Linked DNA regions of Canis lupus familiaris. The main gene of each other region encodes a partner of the protein of the gene in region 2 in a complex. Links are inferred from orthologs where the notes say so. Each region holds a gene or a part of one and is shown on either strand. Other genes may lie near its edges. The genes, in order: WAPL and PDS5B.

Evidence for each region.
Region 1: the proteins of PDS5B (region 2) and WAPL are in contact, whole or in part, in a crystal structure (PDB 5HDT), measured with the Homo sapiens proteins. The link is inferred for Canis lupus familiaris from reciprocal best matches to the Homo sapiens genes PDS5B and WAPL. Residues at the interface, in NP_055847.1 of Homo sapiens: Gln47, Phe88, Ala92, Pro93, Ala95, Trp137, Val138, Lys139, Ser140, Asn142, Ile143, Phe145, Glu146, Glu187, Gly188, Asp189; in NP_055860.1 of Homo sapiens: Lys7, Thr8, Tyr9, Ser10, Arg11.

The regions. Positions count from the first base shown.
Region 1 is NC_049225.1:35,120,010-35,123,837, forward strand, and holds part of WAPL (wings apart-like protein homolog), read right to left. Parts: intron 3,646-3,828; coding exon 3,550-3,645; intron 2,516-3,549; coding exon 2,363-2,515; intron 2,118-2,362; coding exon 1,981-2,117; intron 1,285-1,980; coding exon 1,173-1,284; intron 564-1,172; coding exon 336-563; intron 1-335. UniProt on the Homo sapiens protein: Regulator of sister chromatid cohesion in mitosis which negatively regulates cohesin association with chromatin. Involved in both sister chromatid cohesion during interphase and sister-chromatid resolution during early stages of mitosis.
Region 2 is NC_049246.1:7,478,156-7,481,983, forward strand, and holds part of PDS5B (sister chromatid cohesion protein PDS5 homolog B), read right to left. Parts: intron 3,507-3,828; coding exon 3,392-3,506; intron 1,235-3,391; coding exon 1,102-1,234; intron 1-1,101. UniProt on the Homo sapiens protein: Regulator of sister chromatid cohesion in mitosis which may stabilize cohesin complex association with chromatin. May couple sister chromatid cohesion during mitosis to DNA replication.

The DNA.
Region 1 (3,828 bases), on a different chromosome or scaffold from region 2:
TCATTTAAATGGCCCTTGCAAATCCTCTGCATCTTTATTCCTGAAACCCAGAGACTGAGAATTAAAATCCCTAATAGCCTAAATATAGTTAATATATACACACACACAAGAGAAAGGATAGACAAAATGTAAGAAAATTTACTGGCAAACCATCTAAATATACACGGGATAGTTTAGGAATTTAGGAACAGAATTATGCTCAGAGCTAAACTTTAGAAGAGCTTCCCAATTTTGACCAAGAGGTTAAATGATTTCTCAAAGTCACACACCTACTGTGACTAATATAAAATTTCTGAAAGTAATTTTAGATTTTACAGTGGAAGGAAGGAACCCACCGTTATATTTTCTAGATCAAGATGCTTGTTGTGTACAGTTTCACAGAGCCTTCGAATTTTTTCTTTGATTTTGTTCATGTCTTTTTCATTCAGTAGCTTAGCTGAAGAAGCATCTTGTTCCAGTTCTAGAAGTCGAATCATTAGATCTAGGCTAGCTCTATCAAGATCCATGTTCAGACGATCTCTACTCAGTATGTACATGAGGGCAGCTGTACAAAGGGACAGATTCTTCAAAAGATAAAAATAAAAGTTAATGTGAGTAATTGGTGACATTTCAGTTAATGACACTGTTTTGACATTTGTTCACATGTTGGAAGCCTTGAAAATGTTTTATTCAATGAAAATGCCCCCCCCTCCTTTAGAATACTCTAGGAAAACATGAATTTAATAAAGCTGTTACTTAAAATTTTCCTTTCTAGACGTCTTCCCCATATCAAAACTCCCAAACTAGAAGAATGTGAGTGGCAATACATTTCTCTTTAGCCATTCTATGCTGAATTTATAGAGCATTGTTCCAGCTTTGCATATACACACAAAATTTTTTATACTCTACCTCACTTTATGATATAGTTAATAAAGTTGAATTTTAATCTTAAATCAATAATGTATAGGGGTCTTAAAGTCTGCATCAGACACTTAGCTATTTTTTCTATAAAATAAACACAGCTAAATTTGTCAAAAATATAAAGCTAGGATGACTCAATCCCACAACCAAGAAGAGATCATGACCCAAGCAAAATCAAGAGTCAAGCGCTTAACTGACTGAGCCACCAGGTGCTGCCAAATAGACTAAAAATTTTTAAATAATGCTTCCTAAAACCAGAAACTTAAAAATACCTGATGGTGCTGGGAATCATCCAAGGTTTTAAAGACCATTGCTACCATTCCATGTGCTCTCAGGTGCATTCGAAAACTGGGCATGGCACATTTAGTAGCCAAGCTAATAACACTAGGAGAAAACAGACCAGGTTAGGGGGTATTGAAAATAAGTAGTCATTAGTTTTTTGTTAGCACAATACCAAGAGAAGCAAATGGGGAAGGGAAGGGGTGTCAAGCCACTTGCCCATATGGATAGCAATATAAAACACACGGGCAAACCTAATTATTAAAAATCATACATAGTTAAGTGATTAGTATAAATAACAATGATCACCATTGTATTCCTTACACTACTACTACCATTAAAAGCAAAAAGTCTCAACTACCTTTCATAATGCTTCTGATACATGGAAGACTATAGATAATACTTGAAAGGATATATTCCAACTGACTGGATAATTCAATCAAATTAAGATATTCAATCCATTATAGTATGTGAAGGATGATCCAAATCAAAACATGCTTAAATCAAACACATTTATCATTTGTCTAAAATCTGGGACTGAAAAAGATTTTTTTAGCCTAACACTTCTTTTAAGCATCTCTAAATTAAAGCCTATATACTATGCTAATAGGGTACAAGCATCCACCTTTCCTCTGTCCATGCAGAATCAAGTCCCTATATAAAAAATCAGCCACTTTTAACTTACTACCATGGGCTATAAACTATATTCATGATAACAAAATCACAAATGTTTGGCTCTTTGGTTGGAAAATTTTAGTGAGAGCATGCATACATTTATCAAATATAAAAATAAGACCTCACCTAAGGCAACGTGTGTTTAGAGGCTGAGTGCTCTTTAAGCCACTTAACAGGTACTCAATGTCATCAGTGAATTCTTGATTCTCACCAAATTCCACCACATCATTGAAGTGCTTCACATGCTGAACAACAGTATACAACTGCGAAGAAAAAATAAGTCCACTTCTTTGGTAACCATGAACCAGCACATTAAAATCTATGAGCTGTATTTCATTTAGAAGTGTATAGAAGAGTTCATTATATGGCAACTAAAAGAAATGTTTTAAAAACACTGGTAGTACTAGGAAAGGTAAGTTCGTGGATATCTGTTCAAGACATTTTTAAAGGCTAAATGTTACATACAAAAATCTATCCACGTGCAGTAAAACTGTATATGGCTGCTTACTTCTTTGTCTTCTTTTCTGCATTTCAGTGCAGTAACTATATCTTGGTAGGGCTGAGTAGGTATTGTCACAGTTTTTATCACTTTGGGTGGTGGTGCAGGAGCCTTAAAAACTCCATCATCTTTTTGATTTGGTTCCTTTGAAGACAGCCTCACCTATTAATAAAGGTATTAAATTATTGTTCTAAATATATAAAAATAGTAACATCTCATCTACCTAGCAAATTTGGCTTAAAAATTTAAAAAAAGGAGGCCTCTGAAAGGTCATAAGGGCTACTTTAAAATTCTATGCACTGCTAGGTAAGACTCATAAAAGAACCGCTCAGGAATTCCTTCTGGTCTTTTTGAACCTCATGACATGATTTGTTACTTGTCTCCAAGACCATTAGAAGGAATAAAGAACCACAATTACACACATAAATAGCATTGATAAAAGGCCAGGAATGGGACAAGAAAATCACAACAGATAGACAAGAGAACTTTTAAAATAAAGAATCTGTAATGTAGGGTATAAATAATCATAATAAAAGCCTGGTATATAATTACTAATATACACAAGGATGATTTTATACTAGTATACAGAGTTTAATATATTCAAATTTAAGAAGACAAGGAACTGTATATTATTATATTTTAGAAAGAGCTCTATCCCTAATTCTTTTGTCGTTATAAAGATTCATTCCTTGACATACTGTGACTGAGGTATTACCAATAATTTAAAAGTATTAATCTATGGTCCTTCCAGTTATTCTAAAGAAAATAACTTGATAAGAATTTTTCATATGTGCTTTTAATTGAAAGCTATTACTGGAATGCAGGAAAAAGTTCTCCTCCAAAAAGTAAATTAACCACTCAAAGCTACATAGGATATAATTTATAATAGTCTTAATAGCTAACATAAACTTCAAATATGGAATAATTTACCCTTAAAACACTAAGTACAGTAATTCCATAAGATCTGGGTCAGGAGAAAAACATGTTCCAATGTTTTTAAGGCTTTTATCTATAAACTAGTAGCATCAGAACTTCAGTAATTGTGTCCACAACCCTCACTTTTCCCATGAATTAAACTGAAGCTGCTCAATTTTAATGAGGAGTCCAAAATAAACTGTTAAAGTCAAAGATTTTCAAACTGTAAATAAAAAGCAACAGCTTTAAAAAAATGAAATTAAAATTTTTAGTTCACTTACTGTGGCACTCTGAGGTTTTACTATTGGTGGCCCAGGCAGCTCTTCAGAGTCTGGATGGTTCCAATGTCTAGCATTATATACAGCTTTTGTAGGAGACTAGAGAAATGAGAAAAAGATTAACTGTTTCCTTCTCATTTTGCATCCTTATATAAGTGTCTCATCTAAACAAAATAAAATCACAAAGAATAACTTAAATACTTAAACACGTATCCTAGACAGAGCAGGATAGACCATACCTGGCTTGTATTCGCATGTGCCCCCACGCCTATGGAATCACTG
Region 2 (3,828 bases):
TCCGCACTTGCTGCTTCATCTTGTACTTTGTATATTATGGAACTGGCTTCTTTCCTTAAACCTCGTGAACCAACCTTCTGCCAGCTTCTGCTTTCTTCTACGCTTCTTCACTTCTCAGCCCTCACAGAATTACAGAGTCAGGGCCTTGCCCTGGAGTAGGCTTTGGCTTAAGGGAATGTTATCATTGATTTGATCTCCTATCCAGGCCACTCAAACTTAATCTGTATCAGAAATAAGGCTATTTCACTTTCTTATCATTTGTGCTTTCCATTGGAGCAGCACTTTTAATTTCCTTAAAAACTTTTCCTTCGCATGTACAACTTGACTTACAATTGGGCACAAGAGATCTAGCTTTCAGCCTCTCTCAGCTTCCACATGCCATCCTTACCAACCTTCTTCATTACTAGCTTTTGATTAAAAGTGAAAGATATACGACTCTTCCTTTCACTTGAACACTTAAGAGGTCACTACAGAGTTATTAATTGGCCTAATTTCAATATTGTCTCAGGGAATAGGGAAGCCCGCGAAGAGGTAGAGAGGTGGGGAAACAGCTGGTGGGTAGAGCAGTCAGAGGACACACATCTGTCAATTAAGTTTATTGTCTTGTATGGGTGCAGTTCGTGGCACCCCAAAACAATTATATCAAAGATCATAGTAACATCAAAGATCACTGATCACCATAACATACAACAATTAAAAAGTTTGAAATATTGCAGGAATTACCAAAATGTGATACAGAGACACGAAATTAGCAAATGCTTTTGGAAAATGGTGCCATTAGACTTGCTCAGTGCAGGGTTGCCATAAATCAACTTAAGAAAAACGCAATTATCTGCATAGAACATTATGACAAGGTATGACTGTATGTAGTTTTCAGTACAATAGTGTAAGTTAAACTAATGTTTTCATTATTTCCTAGTAACAGCATTACTACTAATTCCTTATTAGTAATTCTACATCAGTAATTCTAATTACTAATAGTAATTATTAAGTACTAATACAAAAGACTGATAATGTCTATACATACTACAGAAGTAGCATATCCATATTTGAATACTTAAATCAACATGGAATCATAATTATTTAAAAAGAATTACATACTTCATTCATTTTTGCATCATCTGGTCCTTGGGCATCTTTTGTTTGTTTAATATTTTCTACCATCTTCCTGATAAATGCATGACTGTTATTTTCATTTTTAGCCATTAATATTTCAAGAACGAACCAAAGACATCTAAAAAGAGGAAGGGGAGAAAAAGAAGTGAAGTGGAAAAAACTGGGTGTTTAATATAGATACAATAATCTAAATATAATAAACTCCACAAATGGAAATAATTAAAAAGGAAAAACCAACTATAAATCAAGAGGAAAAAAGTATGTCATGCATACATATCACAACTTATCAGCAACATAGGTGTGAATTTATAAGACCCCTTCACAAAATCTCACTAATGTTTCCAAAAAGGCACGTTAAACACTTAAATGGTGAAGAGAATGAAATGATCCTAACTCTAGCAATGACAGGGAGAGAAGATCGTCTAAATAACTGGGCCATGGATAAGTGAAGCTTCAAATACTTAATTTAAGACTGAATGCAGTCCTGATTGAAGGTTTTCAAGTGACTATCTCACTCAATAGTTAAGAATCTTCATGAATAAATTAAAGAGGAAAAAGTTATGGCTAACAAATATACATACTGTCTTTGCTTAAAGAGGGAAAAATTAAAAGGATGTTTCATTCATTAGTTGTTACATAAAACTCTATTCAACAGAAAACCAAAAGTACTTTGTCTCTTTACTATATGGACAGAACAGGACAGAGTTTGGCACAAGGGAGACAAGAGTAATGTGGAGCAAGGTATCATTCTAGAAAGGGAAAAATAACCTTAAGGATCTCAGGTATAGGATAAGTTCTCCTGAAGTGGCTCTCTAACAGAATGGGGAGATTACTCATGGCTAGACTGGGGCAATTTAAAAATAAGCCAAGGGATCCCTGGGTGGCGCAGCGCTTTGGCGCCTGCCTTTGGCCCAGGGCGCGATCCTGGAGACCCGGGATCGAATCCCACGTCGGGCTCCCGGTGCATGGAGCCTGCTTCTCCCTCTGCCTATATCTCTGCCTCTCTCTCTCTCTCTCTCTATCATAAATAAATAAAAATTTAAAAAAACATTAAAAAAAATAAAAATAAGCCAAAAATGTTTAGTAAATTCTGAAGAAAAAATAAATGTATTTCAAAAGCCAAAGTTCTCTGAGAAAGAGGAGTTGTTAAAGTTTTCATTAGTTATAATCACTAATGCAGAACTCATTTTGGGAGAACTGCTTATTAAAAAACCAAAAACAGGGGTATCCCTAGGTGGCTCTGCGGTTTAATGCCTGCTTTTGGCCCAGGGCCTGATCCTGGAGACCTGGGATCGATTCCCACATCAGGCTCCCTGCATGGAGCCTGCTTCTCCCTCTGCCTGTGTCTCTGCCTCTCTCTCTCTCTGTCTCTCAAGAATAAATAAATAAAATCTTTAAAAAAATAAAAAATTAAAAAAATTAAAAAACAACAAAACCAGAAACTGTGCTAAGAGGGTAACAGCTTTTCCCTTGCCATGAGAAAGTTATCAGTAATTTGATTTTATTCTCTTGAGGCACCTCAAATATTTAACTATAAAATATTTCAATGAACGAAGAAACCATTATTTTCCTTTAATAGGAAGCTTAAGGTATAATAAATTCATTTATTCAAAACCACAAAGATCATCCTTTATTATATAGTACAAAGGGGGCTAAGGGTCTCAAACTTAAAGAACTATTCTAGTGTTACAAAGACTTTTCTAAATACCATTATATTTCCCTGTTCCACACCCAGGCATAGATGGTTTTTTGGCCTCTCAACAACAATCTTTGGAAGAATTACAAGTGTCATAAACTTGCACTAGAAAATCGCCAGTAAAGTAGTAAGTGGGTAGTTCCTGATGATCAGCTTGGTCCATCATTAGATTAGACCATTCTCTCTTCCTCCGGAGGAAGATAGTTACTGCAAGGAAAAAGTGCTATGTGAATAAAATTAATTCACCCACATGAAAATCTAGAATTGCAGAAAAAAGTGGGAAAAGACAAGAACTGGAACAGAAGCTTTTAATGGACTGCATCAACAGAAAAGAAATGCCAGAAAGGTAGAGAAATAGAACAGTAGTACAATAATTATGCTAAATTAAGTTTTGGAAATCACATAGGAAATGAAATATGAAGAGACGGTATGAAAAAAAAATAAGAGAATACAGGAAAGAACCTTAAACTCCTAAGAATTTAGGAAATCTAATAAACTAATTATAATAAAGATTCCATTATCAGCAGCAAAGAGAAAAAACTTTCAGAAAACATTAACATGGGATGAAAAAAGTCTTACTCTTTAACATCTTTAAGTTGTTCAATATCCTGTACTTTAACATAATCTGGGTCATGTGCCAATAGGTGAATTGTATATGGAACAACATATTCTGGTAGAAGAGACAATAATTTTTCTGAAAAAGATAAAACAAAATAAAACATCCAGGTTAGAAAACCAAATCTTACTCTGTCTCTGATGTCATATTTCCTGCACCCCAATAGTTTACCACAACATGGCTAGACGGAAACTATACTGAAATATCCAGTATTGAGGAACATCATAAACAAGTTTATTCATTATTCATCCACCATGTCCAATATTGAGATGTCTACTAAATGCACCATATGCTAAGGCTATAATGACAAACATTTTCATTTTCAAATGCATGTGGTAAAAAGTGACTTGAATGTATTAAACAAGACTCAGAAAGATCTATTTTTCTTGTCATTATGAGC